Linked DNA regions of Mus musculus. The protein of the gene in region 1 interacts with the protein of each later gene in a pairwise test. Links are inferred from orthologs where the notes say so. Each region holds a gene or a part of one and is shown on either strand. Other genes may lie near its edges.

Region 1 (4,783 bases):
CCAAACTCAGGTCCTCAGCATGAGCCAGCCGCATATGCTCTTAACTGCTGAGCGGAGCCACCTCGCCAGCTCCGAAGCTTTCATCAGATAATAATAATGATGCTAATGATAAGCAGCAGCATGCTGGAGCACATCTGTATTCCCAGGACTCAAGAATTGGAGGCAGGAAGATCACAACAAACTTGATTGAGGTCAGCCTGGTCTATGTGGGCAGAGTCTATCTCAAGAAAACAGAATCCTGTGCTGGCCTGGGAGTGTAACCCATTGATAAAAGGGCTTGACTTCTGCAGAATCTGGATGAGTCAAGGTCATCACCAGCTACATTATAAGAGTTCACAGTCTGCCTGGGCGACATGAACTGAGGACAGGGACATGAACAAAAACCAAAAAGCCAGGTCCGAGAGCACACGGAACAGGTCAGAGCCCAGGAAGCTCAAAGAGAAAAAGACTGGCAGAGGCCAACGTGTCATCCTCAGCTCTTTCTTGTTCCCTAGGCAGTTTCACCAGACCGAACCGTTCAACACCTGGACAGGTCTGAGCTGTGCTTTTATTAGGGGTGTGGTCACTTCAAAGTCCCACGCCCGCCCTGACAGGACAGGAACACTAAAAAGAGCCTGGGTGGGTCGAGGCTTCAGCGAGCATCGATGTCTGCCTCAGGATCCTTACATCCCTGCATAGCATCAGTGTGTACACGGTGAGGAAAGACCTGGGTGACTGTGGGTGGGACAGTGCCCCATATCCTCCCCACACAGACATTTAGGCAAGCAGGCAGGTTAAGCAATACCTTTTTACTCAGCAATGAGGACTCTGCCCTGAGGGATGCGTCCCCCATGTCCCATCCCTCTCTACATTCCTATGGGGTTGGAAGGATTGACATGCAGCCTTTTCCAAAGTGGACAAAGATGGTGCCATTTAGGGTTCAAAAAGTTCCTCACCAACTTAAAAGACAAGTACTGTGTGCCCTCAGAACTGAGCCCTTGAAAAGTGGATTCAAGACACCCTCCCTTTGGGCTCAATGTGTGGTCCCTGCCCCCTCAAAATGTGCAATGAGATCCCTGACTGCCAGCCTTTTCTCTGCCTCAGAGGGAGGGGGCAGCTCAGCTTTTGGTCCCTGCTGGAATCTCTCTATCTGCTCAGGGGGATCACAGAAGATTCCTGGAGTCTGTACAGAAGCAGTTTTTGTAAATCTTCCTCTAATACCTTCCACCAAAAGTAGTTTTCACCCCGAATCTTTGGGGGCTCGTCTTGGATTCCTGGGTTCCGAAAAGCCACGGTCACCAGCACATTCAGGCAGACACCATCCACATGGTCTCTGCCTAGGTGTTGCAACCCAAGCAACCCCTTGGTCTCCACTGCCAAACTGTGCAGAGTCAGACACTCCTGTAGGAGCCTCAAGATGGCCACCTTGATGCCGCCCCTTTGTTCCATAGGGGTAAAGCCACAGGCAGTGATGGGCAAGTGAGGTGTCCCCACCGTGCCCACCAACACCCACACCGACTGGACTGTTGTGAAGGTGGTCACCAGCCGTTGGCAGACCACACTGCAGGGGAGCTCTTGAGGCAGAATGAGAGGGTGCATGGCTTGTTGGCAGAATTTGGCGCCTAGCTCTACCAGGTGCAGAACATCATGGGCTCTAAGCGGTGTGGGCAGGGAGACCCGTGGGTACCAGCCGGCCTGGAGGGACTCAGAATCAGCATCTTTGGAAGTCTTGAGAACTCCGCCTAGGAGAGATTTGGGGGGTGGGGTGGGAAGAGGGCCAGTATGAGAAGGGTTGAGCCTGAGAGAGTAAATGGCCACCCCAACACTCCAGAGAGAGAGAGACCCCCAAAAGCTCTTAGCCCGTAGTAGGTCAATGGCCATAAGCAGAAGCCCACAGTATGGCTGGCTATGGATGAGGGACCGTGAGAAATGTCACTAGGTGGGGGATACCTGTTGGTCGAGCGAGGAACACAAAGCGGATCCAGGAGGCGCCCCTCTCCTCCACGGACAGCAGTGTCACTGGCTCACAGAGCAGCCCTGCCTCCTCCTTCACCTCCCGCTGCATGGCCTCCACGATGGTTTCTCCTGGTTCCATTCTTCCTGCAGGGAGGTACCATGTCCCCCGGCATTCCCTCTTGGCCTCCTGTATCATCAACACCTCATCCTGGGAGGGAGGGAAGTGAGACAATCTTCACTCCTACCCAGCCAGTCTGGGGGCTTCAGAAGAGTAGCCCCTACCTGGATGGCAGCCCAAAGCTCCCTTCTTGGTAGACAGACACCTTTAGGATGCTGGATCCTCAGGAGTCAGGCCCTGATATGGCTGAAAGCAGTGGCTGTCTCCGCTTTGCTGTAACTCAAACCCAGAGGGACTTCTGTTGTAGAAAGGGGCTGAGGACCTTGGGCGTTGCTCTAGGAGGCTTCCTCCTGAAGGTTGCCACCACTCCTATACTGACTCATTTATGCCACTGTCTTGCTCTTGTTCCCATGGGACTTACAAACCGCCTGTGTCAAGTCCTCAATCTAGGGTCTGAGGCTTTGAAACTTAGCTCCACCCCTATACCAACCTACCCCTTCTTGGCCAGGATTTTATAACGCTGACTTGTGCAGAAGTGATCACTAAAAAGAACTCTCACAGGATCGGAGGCCTGCATGTAAGCTCCCCATTACTCTCCCGAGGCGCCGGGAGAGTCTAGACTCCTGGAAAGGAAGGGGGCATATTACAGGCCTCTCCTGGTGGGGGGCGAGGTCTAGTGGATGAGATAAACCGCCCCGGGACCTCGGCTTCTCCTTCCATATTATAGAGTCTACAGAAGGACGATCTCAGCTCAGCTGCTAGTGTTGAGAGTGCTTTGCAACATTGGGAAGCGCCACATACAGGCAGCGGCCGTTGGCTCGCCTGTTCAGATCAGGGCAGGCGGCACGCTCCCGAGACCAGCCGAAGGCCAGCGGCCGGTCGGACGCTCACCTGCTCGTTGAGGAACACGGCCAGCACCACGTAGCAGACATTCTTCCGCAGCCGCACGGGAAACAGCGGCTTCCCAGCCGGCTCCGAGTCACAGCTCTGCACCAGCAACCCCTTTCCCCCCAGCACGGTGGCAAGCGCCCCTGCCAGGCCCTCCGTGGCCATCAAGTCTCCGGGGAGGTGGCAAGCCGGGACCTGCCAGACCCCCGGAGGCAAGCGGCCGGGACCTGAGCTGCGGTGGGCCGCGGCGCCCTCGCCCCCTCCCCTGACTTGAGGGCCAAGACTAACACGGAACCTCCGGGAGAGACCTGGTCGCTGATAGGCTGCGCGTCACTGCGGCCTGCCCGGATTGGCCAGCTCGCAGCGGTTATCGGGAGGGCGGGGCGCCGGGATCCTCCCTCTGCCCCCTCCTCTCCTGGGTTTCAGCCTCACTTCACACTCTCCCTAGCGATTAGCTAATTCACCCAGCACGCACTTGTCCGCGCGGGTTCCGACGGTGATGTCATCCTGCCTGTAGGGTGATGAACACCACTGTGACCAGGGTCGATGGCGTCACTCGTCCGATGACATTACGGAAGCCCAGACTCCGCCGTTCGCTCCCACTGTCCAGCTTTTATCATAAACGAACCACAGAAGTGCTCACGACGAATAGGCCCCAAATAACTTTCTGACTTCGTTAAAATGCTCTGAATGTGGTATGGCTCAGGCACATAACGTTGCGTTAGAAATTCTGATCTGTCTAGGTCGATGGACACAGGGCATTTTAAGAGTCCGAGGCTAAAGGATTGGTTTGGGGGTGGGGTGGGGGATGGGGAACGTGATTGACAAGCCTCAGAGGAGGGATGGGACAGGTGGTCAAGGTGGGACAAGGCTGGGGATGAGAAGAAGCTAAGGGGGGGGGGGATGAATGAAAGGGAGATTGAAGTCAGCACTGTAGCCTGCATCCGATCCTGTGCCCAATGCTTTTCCCAGGCTTCTGAAACAGACTCCATCTTTAGAGGGCAGGGGTGGTGCCCTCCTACCCAGCGTCCAGGGCCTGGTCATGAGGAACAGGGTGTGGGTTGTTTTGGCCAGCTCCTGCTTCTCTCCCAGCCTGACCTTTCTTCCTCTGAGCTTCTTTAACCTCCACTCAGGACAGGAAGGCAGGGCCAGCTGAGAGGAATCCACAAAGCAGGCCAAGTCTGGGCTCCTCACCCCATCCCAGACTTCCCTTTCCTCCCCCACTGCTGGCTCTGTGTACCTCCTTTGGGGGACAGTGGCTTGATGGTACTGACAAAGCTCTGGAGTTTAAAAGCCAGACATCCAGCCTCTGCTGACTGACGTGCTCTGTGCCCTGGGTGGCCTCAATGTCCTCATCTGTACAGTAGGTCTGTAACAGCCCTCCTTTTCCATACTTGTTGAGAAGCCAAGAGAGCTTGGGAGAAGCCATGCACTATCTGAACACCGTCACCAGGCAGCCCACCTGTTCTCCAGGTAGGGTCTCAAAGCCATAGTCCATAGAGCACACCTGCACATACAAGAACACACACACCGTGAAACTGGGGAGTATAGCTCAGCGGTAGAGTATTTACCTAGCATACACAAGGCCCTGAGTTCAATTCCCAGCACCACAAAACCACATCTGTGCTCTGTAGACTTGACTGGCAGGCGATCTCAGCCCTCCGGGACTGGTCTCAGCCTTTCTTCTCCCCGATGCTGATGCAAACTCCCTGAAGAGGAAATCTACGTGAGGTTGGATGGGCACTGTTAGTGGCCCACAGTATTTTCAGGCACTTGGACACTTCTGACTTGAGGCCACTGAAGACCTCCTATTTCTAAATTAACTGTAGTCATCGGCAGAGG
Region 2 (4,945 bases), on another chromosome or scaffold:
ATCTTTCTGATTCATCAGATTGCCTGCCACTCAAATTAGACATCACTTTCAAACATGGCTGCTTCCTTCTACAAACTAACTTTACTGCTGTTTGGGATTAAAGATATGTGCCACGGGCTGACCTACATCACAACTAGAAACAGCACTCTTGAGTAAGTAACGCATCCTTGGGGTTCACAGTGTGATCAGGTATCTTGCAACACTCATCCTCAGTACTTTTCCAATGTATCTGTGTGCCAGGGCCTGTGGACAGAACAGCAAATGAAATCTAGTTTCTGCTCTCAGGGGACCTAAGTCTCGAAGGAAGCTGGCAATTGATAAGAAACTATAATAAAATACAAGGTAGAGACTATTCACAGCAGGCACACCCTACAGAGAAGTCGAGAATGAAGTAAAAGCTGAACAGACATGAAAAAAGATCAGACTTTAACAAGGGGTAATTGAAAGACCAAGCAGCCAAGGCAAGGTCAGCATGGCTAAGCACTTAGTGTTCCAGGACCGTGTAGCTTGGTAGTGATCAAGACACAACCAAATAGGCAAAAACAAAACCCCAAACTTAAAGAGCCGATCAGGTCACACCACCAGCTGGCACAGGAAGCAGTTAAGTGTCCAAGAAGAAAAATCAATGGCCTATCACTGGTGCAGTGTACGGAAAAATGGATGCAGGAGGCCAATTCCTTTCTTGGATCAAATTTTAGTTGGCCACAACTAAGTGAGATGACCTTTGGAGTGGACCAAACTGCATTTCTGGAACATCAGCTTTACAGCCTGTTACCTACAATATACTGACTCTTCCCCCCAAACTACCCAGAGATAGTTTTCTTCTCATCAGAAATCCCAATTTTTGGTAATATTAACTATACTGCTGTGAATGATTTGTTATGAAGCTTTCTTGTTTAAAACCATAAAAAGGGCATCTTGTAAAAACTAAATACACTGGGGCTGGAGAGATGGCTCAGCGGTTAAGAGCACTGACTACTCCTCCAGAGGTTCTGAGTTCAAATCCCAGCAACCACATGGTGGCTCACAACCATCTGTAATGAGATCTGATGCCCTCCTCTGGTGTGTCTGAAGACAGCTACAGTGTACTGATATATATATTAAATAAACCTTTAAAGAAAAAACAACCCGCCGAGCATGGTGGCTCACAGCTTTAATCCCAGCACTCAGGAGGCAGAGGCAAGTGGATTTCTGAGTTCAAGGCCAGCCTGGTCTATAAAGTGAGTTCCAGGACAGCCAGGGCTATACAGAGAAACCCTGTCTTGAAAACAAACAAACAAAACAAACAAACAACAACAACAACAAAAAACCCTAAATACACTATTCCAACCTACTTGCCTTTGGGTATCTAAGATTACAATTCTAATTAGCACTAAATAAATGTAATTTTTTTCCCTCAACTACGCTAAATTTGATTCTGGTTGACATTGGTGATAAATAACTTGTCTAATATTTCCACTATAGTTCAGTGAGGTAAAAGATGAATATAGCCATCTTCCTAACTTAATGTTTAGAAGAATTAACAAAGTTTAAAAAGCCCCTCATGGTCTAACTCCAGTTTTGAGCTGTAAATTTCCTTTCTGGAACTCTAACTTCCTTAATGTTTGTGTCCTCTTGAAAATCTCTATACTCAGCCTGACCCACTGTTGCCTTCTATCTAGTTCATTACTAACTCATTAGCTATGTAGATTTAACCCAAGAACCATTGGGCTGCTAAATACTAAAGAGCAACAGACACAAGATACTGATTTAATATGGGAGACACGAGTTTTAGTCAATACTTGATCCAAATTCAGTTCACAGCAGTTACACTGGGTGGCTCATGTGTACTCCTGCTTCAAGACAGGCCCTGGCTTCTGTGCATCTGTACTCAAGTGCACACAACCACGGATACAAAACCAACAAAGTAAAATAGAAGCCAGAGAGATTGCTCAGCAATTAAGAACACTCCGATGTTTTACAGTGCACCCAGGTCCAGTTCCCAGAATCTATAGGGTAGTTTACAGCCATTCAAAATTAAACTATAGATATGAACACCTTCTTCGGACCCTTGTCAGCACAGGGCCACATCAGATGTGGGGAAGAGGTTAGATTCTAAGATTTTTACTAGTTTAGAAGTACTGGCGCTGTGGATTGTCTCAGAAAAAGTCTGGCCCTAATTCCCAATTTTATGGAGCTGTACTACCTATAAACTTCAGGGTGGTTTTCATAGGTGGGAAAGAATGTTGGAGTGCCCACAGGATCTGCTTCCTTATTAATCTAGAAACTTGTGTTGTTCCAAGACAGTGTTTTGTTAGTGGATAAAGTAACTTTGCACTCTCCACACCCATATCCTAAGGGTGTTACTAGCCCACGCCCACAATCCCAAATTCCAGGGATTGCAAAGAAGCATCTGATCAAAAAATTTTGGACCTGTTTTCAAACACTTTAAACTACGAAACTTGCAGTAAAGGAGATTATTGGCATATTAACTTTACCAGAATAAACAAAAACCCTGATAGATTTTCTTGGTTGTTTATCTGCTTATTACAAGGTTTCTAGGCACTTGGTTAGTTTCTGGCCATTTCACCTTCAGAGTACTTTCCCACTCTGCTACTTTCCTTCCCGTCCCGGGGCCTTCTTTTGGCTATTTAAATAGGCTCTGGGTGCTTAAGAGTTTAACGCACGTCTTCCAGCGCCTGGACCATGTGTGCAGGCTCCGGGCCCCAGGCGCCGTCTTGGGGAACCCGATCAGGCACTTTGTCGGAAGGCCTGCATCCGACCTCGGGGCCGCACGTGTATGCGTCAAGCCTGCTAGCTCTCTGACGGAGGGCTGGGGGACCCTAGGGTCCGAAAGCAAGTTACTCACCTACGGCTGTCGCCATTATCCGAGGTGAACTAGAGGAGCAGACCGCGCGGGAAAAAAGGGCAGTGTTCTGGAAAACAAGGGCGACCACAGGATCAGAGGGCGGGAAAGGGAGGTGCAATATCAAGGACACGCCCTAGCCCCACAGCCCACCGGCGAACCCGAAGTACCGGGCTGGCTGTGCTTGGGGCTGGAGTCGTGTCCCCAGGCTTCCCGCCGCGCAGGCGCGCTGACGCGACCCCGCTTCCGGGCGGCCCCTCCCCGCAGGCAGCCAAAAAGTGGCGCGCATGCTGCAAGGCCCCCGCTGGCCGGAGAGGTTTCTGGGTTGGAGCGGACCAAGTCCTGACGGCCGGGGGACGGCGTGAGACCAGGGGGCACGAACGGCTCAGGTTTTCTGAGGGACCCACGCGATCAGCTGCGCCACTCTCATCACCTACTCCTTGGGCGCGGGAAAATAACGGAGCCTCCCACGTGCAGAGAAAGTAGCGATCCTGACCTCGGCCTCCTCCCCACCTCTTTGACTCCGTAGCCCCGCCCCTCTCTTTGCCCTAGCTGATTGGCGGAGAGCGGGAGGCAGAACTGGTCACGCCCCTTCTATGAAGCGCGCCGCCGCAGTAGCGAGAACCTAGCCCGCCCGGGAAGGAGGCAGTCAGTAGCGCGAGCCTCTTGAGGCGTTCGATAGCGGAGCGGACAGCTGGTTGGTGCTTGGACCACGCCGCGGCAGCAGGTCCCTCCACGTGCTTTCCGAGGCGCCATGGAGCTGGAGGAGTTGGGGATCCGCGAGGAATGTGGTGTGTTTGGGTGCATCGCTTCTGGAGACTGGCCCACGCAGCTAGATGTGCCGCATGTGATCACTCTGGGACTCGTGGGGCTACAGCACCGGTGAGCAACAGGATGGAGGGGTGGGGGTGGAATGGCAAGTATTTGCACAGTTCCACGAGCCGCTTCCCAGCTCTGTGCTACGGGGAACGCAAGACAATGAGGGTGGATCATGACTGGGAAGGGGGGATCAGGGCTAGGAGGGTGAATCTCGAGAATCAAGTCAAGTACCTACTCAGGATATTGACCAAGTGGGGGTGGGGTACACTTTGCCTGCATAGACTTTAACTTAGGCTGTCGCGTTGCTCCCGAGTGCTCTTTACAGGTTAGCTCCCAAGAATGTGCATCTCTCGTCGCGGGTTAGTTACTCTGGAGTTTGCTTTCACTAGCCAGGTTGGGAAGGGACCGTTCAGATCTCCTTGAAACTAGAACTGTTCTAGAGATAAGCTTCTGTAGGGTGGTGGTGCTGAAGGTCCTGCAACACTTGAAGGTTTTTCTATTTGTTGTTGTTTTGCACGGGGCCTCCTGCTTGCAAGAGCTTTGTTTGCAAGGGCAGAGCTACTGAGCAGATTTGTCAGCCTGAAAGCAGTTAGAGGTTTGGAGATCGTGAGTTTAAAAGTAGTTATAGCTATGAGAAATTGGGAGATGCCTTTGGGGCAAACAAAGAAAAAAAGACCTTTGCCTCCATAATTTGTTTCTTGACTTCACTGACAGTATTATGGAAATAATACAAACTAGGGTTTTGTCTCTCTTCAAAAACTATTCTATCACGGAGTTTTACAATACAGTAGCAACAATGTCTAGACCAGAGCTGGGCAGTAACCCTTTTTATCAATGTGGGTGCTACATGCATCACTAATGATTATTCTTACCAGACTTAGCCTAGAAGTTGTCCTTTTGCAGAGTCTTATTTGACATTCTACATACTCCGCATACATTTATTTAAAAAAAAGCATCTGGGGCCACCCTGTGGTGGCGCATGCCTTTAATCCCAGCAACTGGAAGGCAGGGGCAGGTGGATTTCTGAGTTCTGAGGCCAACCAGGTCTAAAGAGTGAGTTACAGGACAGCCCGGGCTATATATACAGAGAAACCCTGTCTTGAACCCCCCTCCCCCCAAAAAAATTGTTTTGAGAATGTGTGTATGTATATGGTGTAGGGGACTATGTTTTTTGTTGTTTTGTTTTGTTTTTTAAATTAGTTACAACTTGCTGGGTGCAGTGACTAGCTCAAAGCACTGGAGAGGTCTGCAGAGGCAAACTGATCTGGAGCTTTTGAGGCT

What was found. The genes of interacting proteins can lie anywhere in the genome.
Region 2: the proteins of Nudt18 (region 1) and Paics interact in binary tests that used the Homo sapiens proteins (3 or more experiments, as listed by UniProt). The two-hybrid records come from large-scale screens. The link is inferred for Mus musculus from reciprocal best matches to the Homo sapiens genes NUDT18 and PAICS.

What each region holds. Positions count from the first base shown.
Region 1 is NC_000080.6:70,576,272-70,581,054, reverse strand, and holds the start of Nudt18 (8-oxo-dGDP phosphatase NUDT18), read right to left. Parts: upstream 3,232-4,783; 5' UTR 3,107-3,231; coding exon 2,945-3,106; exon of another isoform or gene 2,548-2,944; intron 2,144-2,547; coding exon 1,930-2,143; intron 1,722-1,929; coding exon 1,126-1,721; 3' UTR 1-1,125. UniProt on the Homo sapiens protein: Mediates the hydrolysis of oxidized nucleoside diphosphate derivatives. Hydrolyzes 8-oxo-7,8-dihydroguanine (8-oxo-Gua)-containing deoxyribo- and ribonucleoside diphosphates to the monophosphates. Hydrolyzes 8-oxo-dGDP and 8-oxo-GDP with the same efficiencies.
Region 2 is NC_000071.6:76,949,739-76,954,683, reverse strand, and holds the start of Paics (multifunctional protein ADE2), read right to left. Parts: upstream 3,383-4,945; 5' UTR 2,865-3,382; coding exon 2,849-2,864; intron 1-2,848. Other genes in the region: Ppat (amidophosphoribosyltransferase), read left to right, coding at 3,600-3,727. UniProt on the Homo sapiens protein: Bifunctional phosphoribosylaminoimidazole carboxylase and phosphoribosylaminoimidazole succinocarboxamide synthetase catalyzing two reactions of the de novo purine biosynthetic pathway.